Macaca mulatta: one gene and its partner. The protein of the gene in region 1 binds, or shares a complex with, the protein of each later gene. Links are inferred from orthologs where the notes say so. Each region holds a gene or a part of one and is shown on either strand. Other genes may lie near its edges.

Region 1 (5,352 bases):
CCCAGGAAGTTGAGGTTGCAGTGAGGCATGATCACCACTGCACTCTAGCCTGGGTGACAGAGTGAGACCCTGTCTAAAAAAGAAAAAAGGAAGAACCAACGTTTCTCCTTTTTCAAAATAAGCTGTCAACAAATTAAAAATGAAGAGACAAAACCAGAAGAGGTTTTTATCAATTTTGTTTAAGAAAGCATAATGTCGGCTGGGCACGGTGGCTCACACCTGTAATCCCAGCACTTTGGGAGGCCGAGGGAGGTGGATCACCTGAGGTCAGGAGTTCAAGACCAGCCTGGACAACATAGTGAAACCCCGCCTCTACTAAAAATATAAAAATTAGCTGGGCATGGTAGCAAGTGCCTGTAATCCCAGCTACTCAGCAGGCTGAGTCAGGAGAATCGCTTGAGCCCAGGAGGCACAGGTTGCAGTGAGCCGAGATTGCACCACTGCACTCCAGGCTGGGCAACAGAGGGGGACTCTGTCTCAAAAAAAAAAAAAAGAAGAGAGCATAATGTAACAAGACCTTCATCTTGACTGTCCTTGGGTGAACTACTTAAAGCTTTTGAACCTCACTCTACTCATCTGTGAAATGGAAATAGAACAACTACCTCTTACAACAACAAATTAAGTAATGAATGGATCTAACTGAGCCAAGCATATATAAAGTACAGTACTAGATACATCTTAACAGCTTCCCTTCCTCAGATTTGCAATCTAGAATGGAAATCTCAAAAACTTAAAAGTATTCAAAACTTAGTATATTTTTTTTAGAGATGAGGTCTCGCTTTGTTGCCCAGGCTGGTCTACAACTCCTGGGCTCAAGCAATCCTCCATACCTTGGCATCCAGAGTAGCTGGCATTACAGGTGCAAACCACCATGCCCAGCTTGACAGCTTATTTTTGAAAATTACCAATAAGGCGTACAAAGAGTAATATCAAAATATCACTTTTAAGTCCTCTCTGTTTTCTGATCCCATACTGGACACATCCTCCTGCCCCAAAATGAAAACAACCTTTAGATATCTCAATTGACAAGAACGTTAAAATTTCACTTAACTGGTTACTTGAATTTAACCTAAAAGTTTTCTCAGTTTTTAAATTAGTAAATATAGTGATGAAATTTATATGTAAAATATCTACATAATATTCTTACAAAACACCAAAAATCAAATTAGAATTTTCATTCATTTAACCATAAAACATTTTGCTACTAGGCGGCGCAGGCTTTAAGACATAGAACCTCCTCATTCCTCTTTATGAAGCTTAGTGCCCTGAGAGTGCCGGATAATAAGGCATCTTGTTATCTCATTTTTAAAAAACTTTTTAATTTTAGGCCTTTACAACACATGGCAGGTCTTATTAACTCCCACACTGAGTATTCTCTCTTCAGCTAGATTTCTAGCCACTTGAGCTACTAATCACCACTTAAGAATGGTAGAATAAAAACACGACAATCTCTTTTTAAGCTTTTTAGCACGACTCAATTTTAAATATGCGTTTGTGCACTCCTGTACATTTTCAGTCACCTACTTAGGGTTATTTACCAAGATTATACATTCAATACTGTATAGCAACTTTTGTGGATACAGGGATCTGCCTACTGGGTCTGTGGGTTATGGAGACGTTGCTCGCCCCCATTTTGTTGTTGTATTATCACTTTCACCAAACAACACAAGAGAAAGACAGATTTCCGAAAATAAAGATGAGGCTGACTTCTGACCATTCACATTGGGAATGGGACAGAACCTTCTATTTCGGTGCAAGAACACAGCATATAAAAACACCTAGAGCAGAGGGTCCCAAATGAAAATATTCTTAGACTTACACGAGGATTTCTTAAACACCACAACGTACCTAAATGTACCTGTATTTTCCTCCATTGGCTGTACTGCTTTGAAATTTAAAAATGGAGCACTCTTTAACGAAGAGTGGACATTTCCAACCCTACAACTAACTCACTCGTATGTTCTGTCAGTTACTTCTAAGTTTGAGAAACGTCAGTGTCCTTTCCGAGAAACAGTCAAAATTAGCAGGGTTCTCCCCTATCCCACCACCCTCAGGAATGGGACGTTCACGAAAGCCAAACGAAAGGGGCGAATTAAGAGAGCAGCAGTTCAATGAATTATTCCATTGCTCCTTTTAAATATCTGAGAACTTAAGTAGTTCATCTGGTTCCACTGCTGTCACAGCATCTGACATACAGTAAAAGGAGTAGAACAATTTCCCCTCTCGGAAGAAGTCCTAGCAGGAAGGTGACGTGACACCAAATCGACCCCCGGGGAGAATGCTGACAACGTGGGCAGAAAACAACTATGGGGAAGGGGTCGTCTTTTTGTGAGCAACTCCGCTGCCTCCCGGGGAACATGGGAGCTGCAAAGCTTACTGCTAGAGCCATGAAACGAAAGAGAGAGGGGGAGAGAGAGGCCTCCATAGGGAAAGGGAAAAAAAAAGGGATAAACCGTAGAGAATCAGAAAAGGAAGCGTTTTGTTTTGGGGAGGGGGAAGTAGAAGGGAGAAGTGAAGGTCTGCTTCCTAAGCGATTTTTCCCTTCCCCCTCACCCGCCGCTACACTCACAGGCCAGGCCGCCGCGCTGGGCACTGCCCTTGGGCCGCTCCCAGGCACGGACGCAGACCCCTTTGCGTCCCCGGTCCCCGGCCCCCGGCGCAGGCTCCGCGGCCGGATAGCAGGAGAGAGTCCCGGGCAGCCGCCGCCCTCCCCCGCGCCCGCGCCCCCGCCCGCCGTCGCCCGGCTCCCGCTTCCTATTTTCGGAGTACACACCCTACAAGGAGCGGAGCGAGCAGGCCTGGCAAAGACCTGCCCCCGCGCGGGGCCTCGGGTGACGGACAGGGGCAGGCACTCGGCGCAGCAAGGATGGGGGAAGAAGGGCAGACGAGGGCACCGCCAGCTGCGAGCCAATGCCCATCCCCCGCGACCAGACTCTGGGCCCACCCGCCCGGGCTGAGCCGGCTCCCGACGGCCGGCGCCGCCACCCCCACGACTCTTACCTTCTCTTCATCAGACAACTGCTCCTCCAGATCCGCCATCTTCCTTCTGGCGACAAACCGCGGCGGCGGCGGCGGCAGCGGCCACCTGACTTCCCCGCTTCCGTGCGGTCCTCAGCGCCGCGCGCCCCCGCTAAGGGAGGGGCCCGCCGCTCAGGTCGCCGCGCACGCGCCCCGAGAGCCCCGCCTCCCTCGACCCGGCCCTCGGGGACTGAGCGCGGCTGTGCGCGTGCGCGGGTGCCTGGTGGCCGGGCGGGGGACGTTGTCTCCCGGGGCCGCCTGCAGCAGGCTTGCTAGCATCGTGAGTGTAACGTTCTCTCCCCACAGTGACCATATGGGCTCAGTCTGCGATGAGTACATTCTGAGCCCTTCGTTATGTTTCTATCAAGTCTTGAACTCTGCCAGCTAAAATCTGAAAAGGTGGACAAATAGAAGCTTTTTAAACATTGTTTTTAAAAAAATATTAAATAGCCGGGCGCGGTGGCTCAAGCCTGTAATCCCAGCACTTTGGGAGGCCGAGACGGGCGGATCACGAGGTCAGGAGATCGAGACCATCCTGGCTGACACGGTGAAACCCCGTCTCTACTAAAAAATACAAAAAAACTAGCCGGGCGAGGTGGCGGGCGCCTGTAGTCCCAGCTACTCGGGAGGCTGAGGCAGGAGAATGGCGTGAACCCGGGAGGCGGAGCTTGCAGTGAGCCAAGATCACGCCACTGCACTCTAGCCTGGGCGGCAGAGCGAGACTCTGTCTCAAAAAAAAACAAAAAACAAAAAACAAACAAACAAACAAAAAATTAAATAGTCGGCTTTCATTAAAATACACACACACGACCCGCTCCATAATTGAAAGATTGCTCTTTATATATTCCTTTATTCATCCAACAAATATTTTCTGGTCCTTTAACGGGGTGCGGGGCACTGTGTTAGTCTCTGGGGCTATAGTGTTGAGGGGGAAAAAAACAAGCTAGACACGCCTGTTCATAGCACCACAATTCGCAATTACAGAGAAATGGAACCAACCTAAGTGTCCATCAACCAATGAGTGGATAGAGCAAATGTGGGTATATACATCATGGAATACTACTCAGCCATAAAAAGGAACGAAATAATGCCTTTTGCAGCAACTTGGAAGGAGCTGGAGGCCATTATTCTAAGTGAAGTAACTCAGGAATGGGAAACCAAATATTTTATGTTCTCACTTATAAGTGGGAGCTAAGCTGTTAGTGTGCAAAGGCATAAGAATGATAAAATGGACTTTGGGGACTGGGGAGGGGATAAATTACTACATATTGGGTACAGGGTACACTGCTCAGGTGATGGGTGCACTAAAATCTCAGAAATTACCACTGAAGGACTTACCCATGTAACCAAAAATCCACCTGTACTCCAAAACTATTGAAATAAAAAGAGAAACTTCTGTTCTCAAGAAGCTCATTTTTGTACTCATTAAACAAACATATATTGAACAGTTGGGGCCGGGCGTGGTGACTCACGCCGGTAATCCCAGCACTTTGGGAGGTCTCGGCAGCAGATCATCTGAGGTCAGGAGTTCGTGACCAGATTGGCCAACATGGAGAAACCCCATCTCTACTAAAATACAAAAATTAGCCTGGAGTGGTGGCGCATGCCTGTAATACCAGCTACTGGGGAGGCTGAGGCAGGAGAGTTGCAGAAGTCATTGCAACCTGGGAGGTGGAGGTGTCAGTGAGCCAAGGTCGCGCCACTGTACTCTAGCCTGGGTGACAGAGCGAGACTCTGTCTCAAAAAACAAAACAAAACAAAACAAAACAAAAACAGTTGGGGAAGGCACTGTACTATTCCAGGGGAATACAAAGTTATGTTAGACATGGATCCTACCCTCCTGAATAGGGTTGCCATATTAAATATAGGACACTTAATCAAAAGTGAATTGCAGATAAGCAATCTTTTGAAAAGTATGTCCCATGAAGCGTTGGAGACATACTTAAAAATTACTCATTGTTTTCAAATTTTACTGGACATCCTTTACTTTTATTTGCTAAATCTAGCAACCCTGCTTTTGAAGCTTGAAGTTTATGAGAGATTAAACATGTAATCAAAGCTGCATATATATGAATCAATTGGGAATCTTGTGAAAATGAAGTTGCTAATTCAATAGATCTGGCATGAGGCTGGAGAATCTGTTTTCTCCAGAATACAGCCTGTGGAATAACAGGCTCCCAGCTGATGCCAGTGTTCCTGATCTGGAGACCACGTTTTGAGTGGTAAGGCCTTAGGGTTTAAGACAGGCGTTCAGATTCTGTGAGGAACTGTTGAGAACTTTTGAACAGTGACATGACATGATCAGAAACGTGCAGCAAGATGAATCTGACAGCT
Region 2 (5,326 bases), on another chromosome or scaffold:
GATGGTCTTGATCTCCTGACCTCGTGATCCGCCCGCCTCGGCCTCCCAAAGTGCTGGGATTATAGGCTTGAGCCACTGCGCCCGGCGTTTTTTTTTTTTTTTTTTTTTTTTTTTTGACACGGAGTTTTGCTCTTGTTGCCCAGGCTGGAGTACAATGGTGTGATCTCAGCTCACTGCAACCACCGCTTCCCGGGTTCAAGCAATCTCCTACCTTAGCCTCCCGAATAGCTGGGATTACAGGCATGCGCCACCACGCCTGGCCAATTTTGTATTTTTAGTAGAGACGGGTTTTCTCCGTGTTGGTCAGTCTGGTCTCGAACTCCCAACCTCATGTGATCCACCTGCCTCGGCCTCCCAAAGTGCTGGGATTACAGGCATGAGCCACCATGCCCGGCCTAAACTGATGCACTTTCTACTATATCCTGAGGCTTCTTTACTTTGTGGCCCTGGTTAGCCTTTGCAGCCTACTTTTCTATATCCTTCATGCCAGTCGAATAAAACTACTGGCATGCACCACATTCTTCTTTCTCTTGTGCTTTTGTTCATTCAGTTACTTCCTCCTAAAATGTCTGCATTTACCTAGATAATCTTCCAATGGAAATCCATGGCTCAAGTGCTACCTCTTCAGGAAAGCCATCTTACTTCAATCAGGTTAATAATCTCTCATAACCCTTTCTGGCACATCTATTAAGGCTCTGTGTACTTCCTGGAGTTCATGGTTTACTTTTAATTATCAATCTTTCCCTTCTAGTCTGTGAGTCTTATTACTGATGAATCTACACAGGGCCTAACACTTGTTATAGTGATCAATAACATATTGGTGATCAATAAACCGGGGCATTTTGACTTGACCCAGCTGGAGTAGGGGAGCCTGGAAAAATCCAGGAGAGAAGCCTGGGAAAGGAAAGAAGGAGGCTGGGCTGAGCTGGAGGTGGGGTGGGGAGACAGCAAGGGGGTGCCCACCCCATTCCCCCAACCTTCACCCACTCCACTCCCACTCCACCACTCTGTACTTACATCCAGGAAGCCAGAGAGCTCTGTCTGCAGCAGCTCTTTCAGCTCCTTCTTGCTCAGCTTGTACTTGTCTCCCTCTTTGCCCGAGTGGGCGTGGAACACGTTGATGAGGGTCTCCATCGCCGTCTCCAGCTCAGAGCCCATTGCAGCAGTGCACCTACCCACCCCCAACATGGAAGTGAGCCTTGAGGACCAGGCCCAGAGTACCAGGGTCTAGGTGAGGGGAGCCCTCAGGCCTGGCCCTGGCTGACAGCTCAAATAACTGTGGGATTAAAGCCCAACTGCAATTGATCTTTCCCTGAGATTTTACAATGTGAGGGAAACCCCAGCAGACCTAAATGCAGACCTGTTCTCCATGTCCCTCAGTCTGTACCCCAGCCAAAGGGAATCAGGGTTAGGGCATGGAGAGAGAGCAGTTGGAGCTGGGCTGGCTCCAGAGGCCTGTGGTAGATGTCTGCAGTGGCTGCCCAGGCAGGGATTGAGGAGGGTGGGGCAGGCAGGGGTGGTCACAGGACGAGGCCATGCTTCCTCTGGCTCTATTTTTACCCTGGACCTTGCCTGCCTAGTATAGCCAAGCTCTGCTGTTGAGGGTGGTGGGCTGGGGTGTCCACTACAGCCTTCCCTCTGCTGCCCACCCCTAGCAAGAAGTCAGTCTGGTACCCTCGGTCAGCCTGGTAGAGGGGGTGGCAGCCCCAGTGGGCGGGTGGCCTAAGGCTTCTAGGGGAGGGAGGTCTCACTGACTCTGAGTTTCCTGTCAGCAGCTGGGGGCCCCTTTTGGTCCTTCAACTCTGTTCTCTCCTGAACATGTCATTTTGGCTTCTCTGGGGTATGCTCCCATTGCTTCTGCAAAATTATCCCTTTCATCTAGTGGGTGGCAGAAGGGGAGAGAGGAATGTTTGAGCCTTTTCCTTGGAGCCAGGGTTCCCAGGGAAGGGGAGAGGAGACTTGCAGGCATTGTCCCTGCGACTGCTCACTCCTGGTTGATTTGGGGATAGTGGGAGCAAGGGGAATGGGGCTGGTATGTGTTGGGGGAGATAAAGGGCTGAGAGCATGCAGTCCTTTGAGTTCAAGGGGCTGGGAGAGAGTAGGAGAAGAAAGGAGAAAGGAGGGGTCTGTTGAGAGAGAAGACTGCCAAGGGGGGCCTCTTTCCTTTGGCCCTGGGACAGTCTGGCCTTCCGCAACCCCAGGGGGGGCAGCTCAGGTGTCTCGGATCAGATGTCCCCATCCTTCCCCAGGCCTAGGGGGCTGGACAATGGCCCCGATCGAATGACATCCCAGTTCTTCAATGGGGCCCTTGTGAGTGTCATCTGAACTCCGGACCTGAGAAGCGGTTGTCACAGAGACATGGGGGAGATGGAACCCAAGCTGTGGCTGATGAGGGGATAAGGGGTGCTTGAGGGAGGGATGCTGGTGGCTTGATTACCTGCTCCATGCCAGAGGGGCAGCTGGAGGTCGCCTGGAGCCCTAGAGCAGCCTGGGATTTTATGTGGTGGCAGTTCTGAGAGGACTTGGGGGCAGGGCAGATGGGAAAACAAAGAGGAAAGAATTGGGGGAAAGAGGAGTCAAGAGGTCTGGGCCAAAAAGGGGAGGAGGAGAAAGGGGAGGTCCTGTGGAGGTAGCGTTGGGAAGGGGTACAGCACCCTCCATCCCCCACTTCCCCATATCTTGGGAGCTTCGCCTTGCCACCCCCAGACTCCCCAGAGACCTGAGCTCTTGGCAAGGCAGGGTGGGGGTGGCAGAGACTAAGGCTGGCAAGAGAGGTGGGGGCAGAAACAGCTGTTGTATCTGCTCTCTTCTTCTTACCCCACAGGAGGCGAGGCAGGGGAGGGCTGGGGCCCTTCCCAACACCTGGGAGACAGAGGGGGCCTTGGCAGGGACTTGAGGGCTCCCTGTGGGAGGGCCAGGTGGCCAGGAAGTTCTTGGTGGGTTCCCCACTGACTTCCTCCTTTGCTGAGCTGCCAGCTCTCTCTCCGACCTTCAGTTCATTTGTCTCTCATCACCACCTTCCAAACCCTGTCTCCCCCAAATCCCAAACTGCCCTCACTCTGACTGACTCCTCCCAGATCCTTAGTGCCCCACAGTGCTATGGGCCCCAGCCTCTTGGAGCCCTTCTGAAGACCCCTCTCCCCGAAGCTGGCAGGCCAGGGACTAGCCCGGTGGGGCAGGGTACTCACCGTCGGCCTGGGCCTGAGGTGGGAGCAGGTTCTGGACAGATAGCCGAGGCTGCAAATGTGGCTGCTGGAGCTGTGTGTGGAGACCTGTCTTCAACAGTCCCTCCCCCGCTGACCCCCCCACCGACTCCACCCCTTCACAGACGAACACCCTGTGGGGCAAGGGGCCAGGAGCAGACAGAGGCGCCCTCTGTCTCCTGGGCTGGAACAGGCGGCCCTTGTCTCTTTCCCAGCCTTGCTTGCCCCGTTCCCTTCTCTTTAGGCAGCAGTGGATGGTGCAGGGGAAAGAGGTGGGAAGGAGGTCCTGGGAGGGATACTGGTTGTCTCACCCCAAGCCGGGCCTTGCAGTACCTGCAGCTGACTGTGCTGGTTGACCCGGGTAAGGGGGGAATTCTGCTGAGGGGGTCTTAGTCTGTGGCTCCTCCATGGGGCCTCACTGAGAGGACCCTCAGTGAGTAACTTAGTCTTGGGAGTCTGAGAACCCACAGAGGGATTTCAATCCAGGACTCTTCTATGGGGTTCTCAACCTGGATCCCCCTGTGTGTGTGGGGCCTCAGCCTGGGGTTCTTTGAGGGATCTTGGGCTGTAGCATCCTTTGTGGGGTTTCATTCTAAGGGGCCTCCGTGTATGTCTCAGATTGGGCCTCTCAGTGTTGAGCTCCCTCAATTGGTTTCCTCCCTCTTCCCCCCTCAGCATACACACTCCTGATTAGACGTGGGGTGTGGTGGCAGCAGCCCCCAGTATTGAAAGGACTAGGACCCTGGGACCCCTGCTGAATGAAATCTGTCCAGACAGCTCCTCTCCCTGACCAAGTGGGGGCGCTCGTGTGGCTGGCAGGGAGCCCGGGTCCAGGCCTGAGGGTTCAGGGCAAGAGGCCTGATTGGGCTGTCTCTGGTCTTCAGAATCCACCACGGAAATTTGACACCTCCGGGCTTGTAAGCAGCTCTCTCCTTCCCTGCTGCTTATAAACCTCAGCCTTGAGACTCCAGCTCACTCCACCCCATCTCCTTGCCCGGTAAGTCTCATTGCCGACCCTGGAGGGAGCCTGGAGATCATTTTTTCTTCCTGGGCTCCCAGGTCCCTCCCCCAGAGCCGGCTCAGACAGGAATTCAGGAAGCAGCTTTGGACGATCGAGCAACAGTGCATGCCGGAGTGCGTGACGGGGGGACGGAAAAGAGAATGCCTCTTCCAGCCCCACCCACCGCACCCCAGGGGGCTGTGAGTGCCTGTACTAAACCCGTCGTGGGGCAGGGAGTCAGAGACACCCCGTTCCAGGACCCTTATCTCCCGATGGGGAGACAGGAGCGGGGAGGATCTGTGGGGTCCTGGGTTCAGCACTCTGCCCTGGTGCCCTGAGGAGAGAGGTAAGGGTGGATCCCGGCAGAGAAAATGGGTCTGTTCAGACGGAGCCAGCTCTGACCACAGGGGACATTTGCCAGACCCTGTGCTTCTCTGCTGGGAGAAGCGTCAGAGTGTGTGTGGGCGGATGCGGGTGGCTGAAGACCAGGTCCCAACATAAACAAGCTTTGGAGACAAACAACCTTGTGACCTGTGAGGCTGGGTGAGACAAGAAGGGACTCTTGAGACAGACAGGCCACAGAGGGGCCACCAGACTCGAAGGACTCCAGGAAGGACCCTTAACTGAAAACCTCCTCTCAAGTAGAGAGGTCTCTAGATCGAGGCATCACCACAGAGGGGTCCCTAAGCCACAGACATTTAAAAAGGAGCCCAGATTGTGAGACCTACAGAAGAGGGGGTTTCTGGAGCCGAATCTTCTGCCCCCACCTAAACTGAGATGCTGTTGTCTGGTCTGCTGCCCCAAGCTCAACCCCTGTCCTCTCCCTCTTTCTCTATAATGCCCTCTCCAGGCCAAGACCTGATGCGGTAACACCAAGGCAGGGGCCTTCTGAACCATTCCTGCATCTTGGGGCTCCATGACTCTCCCTCTCTGCTCCTCCTCTGTTCCACAGGTCAGCCCTGACAAAGGTCAGCTAGCCCCTTGAGGACATCAGCTTTGGCCTCAGGGTCCTAATGGCAGCAGAACCACTGACAGAGCTAGAGGAGTCCATTGAGACCGTGGTCACCACCTTCTTCACCTTTGCTAGGCAGGAGGGCCGGAAGGATAGCCTCAGCATCAACGA

Evidence for each region. The genes of interacting proteins can lie anywhere in the genome.
Region 2: the proteins of CAPZA2 (region 1) and S100A1 are in contact, whole or in part, in an NMR structure (PDB 2KBM), measured with the Rattus norvegicus proteins. The link is inferred for Macaca mulatta from reciprocal best matches to the Homo sapiens genes CAPZA2 and S100A1. Residues at the interface, in NP_001009180.1 of Rattus norvegicus: Thr267, Lys268, Ile269, Asp270, Trp271, Asn272, Lys273, Ile274, Leu275, Ser276; in NP_001007637.1 of Rattus norvegicus: Ser44, Phe45, Leu46, Asp47, Lys50, Asp51, Ala54, Lys57, Ile58, Glu61, Leu78, Ala81, Leu82, Thr83, Ala85, Cys86.

The regions. Positions count from the first base shown.
Region 1 is NC_133408.1:156,397,071-156,402,422, reverse strand, and holds the start of CAPZA2 (F-actin-capping protein subunit alpha-2), read right to left. Parts: upstream 3,143-5,352; 5' UTR 3,040-3,142; coding exon 3,001-3,039; intron 1-3,000. UniProt on the Homo sapiens protein: F-actin-capping proteins bind in a Ca(2+)-independent manner to the fast growing ends of actin filaments (barbed end) thereby blocking the exchange of subunits at these ends.
Region 2 is NC_133406.1:113,405,080-113,410,405, forward strand, and holds the start of S100A1 (protein S100-A1), read right to left. Parts: upstream 3,248-5,326; 5' UTR 3,189-3,247; intron 1,172-3,188; 5' UTR 1,159-1,171; coding exon 1,018-1,158; intron 1-1,017. Other genes in the region: S100A13 (protein S100-A13), read left to right, coding at 5,217-5,326. UniProt on the Homo sapiens protein: Small calcium binding protein that plays important roles in several biological processes such as Ca(2+) homeostasis, chondrocyte biology and cardiomyocyte regulation.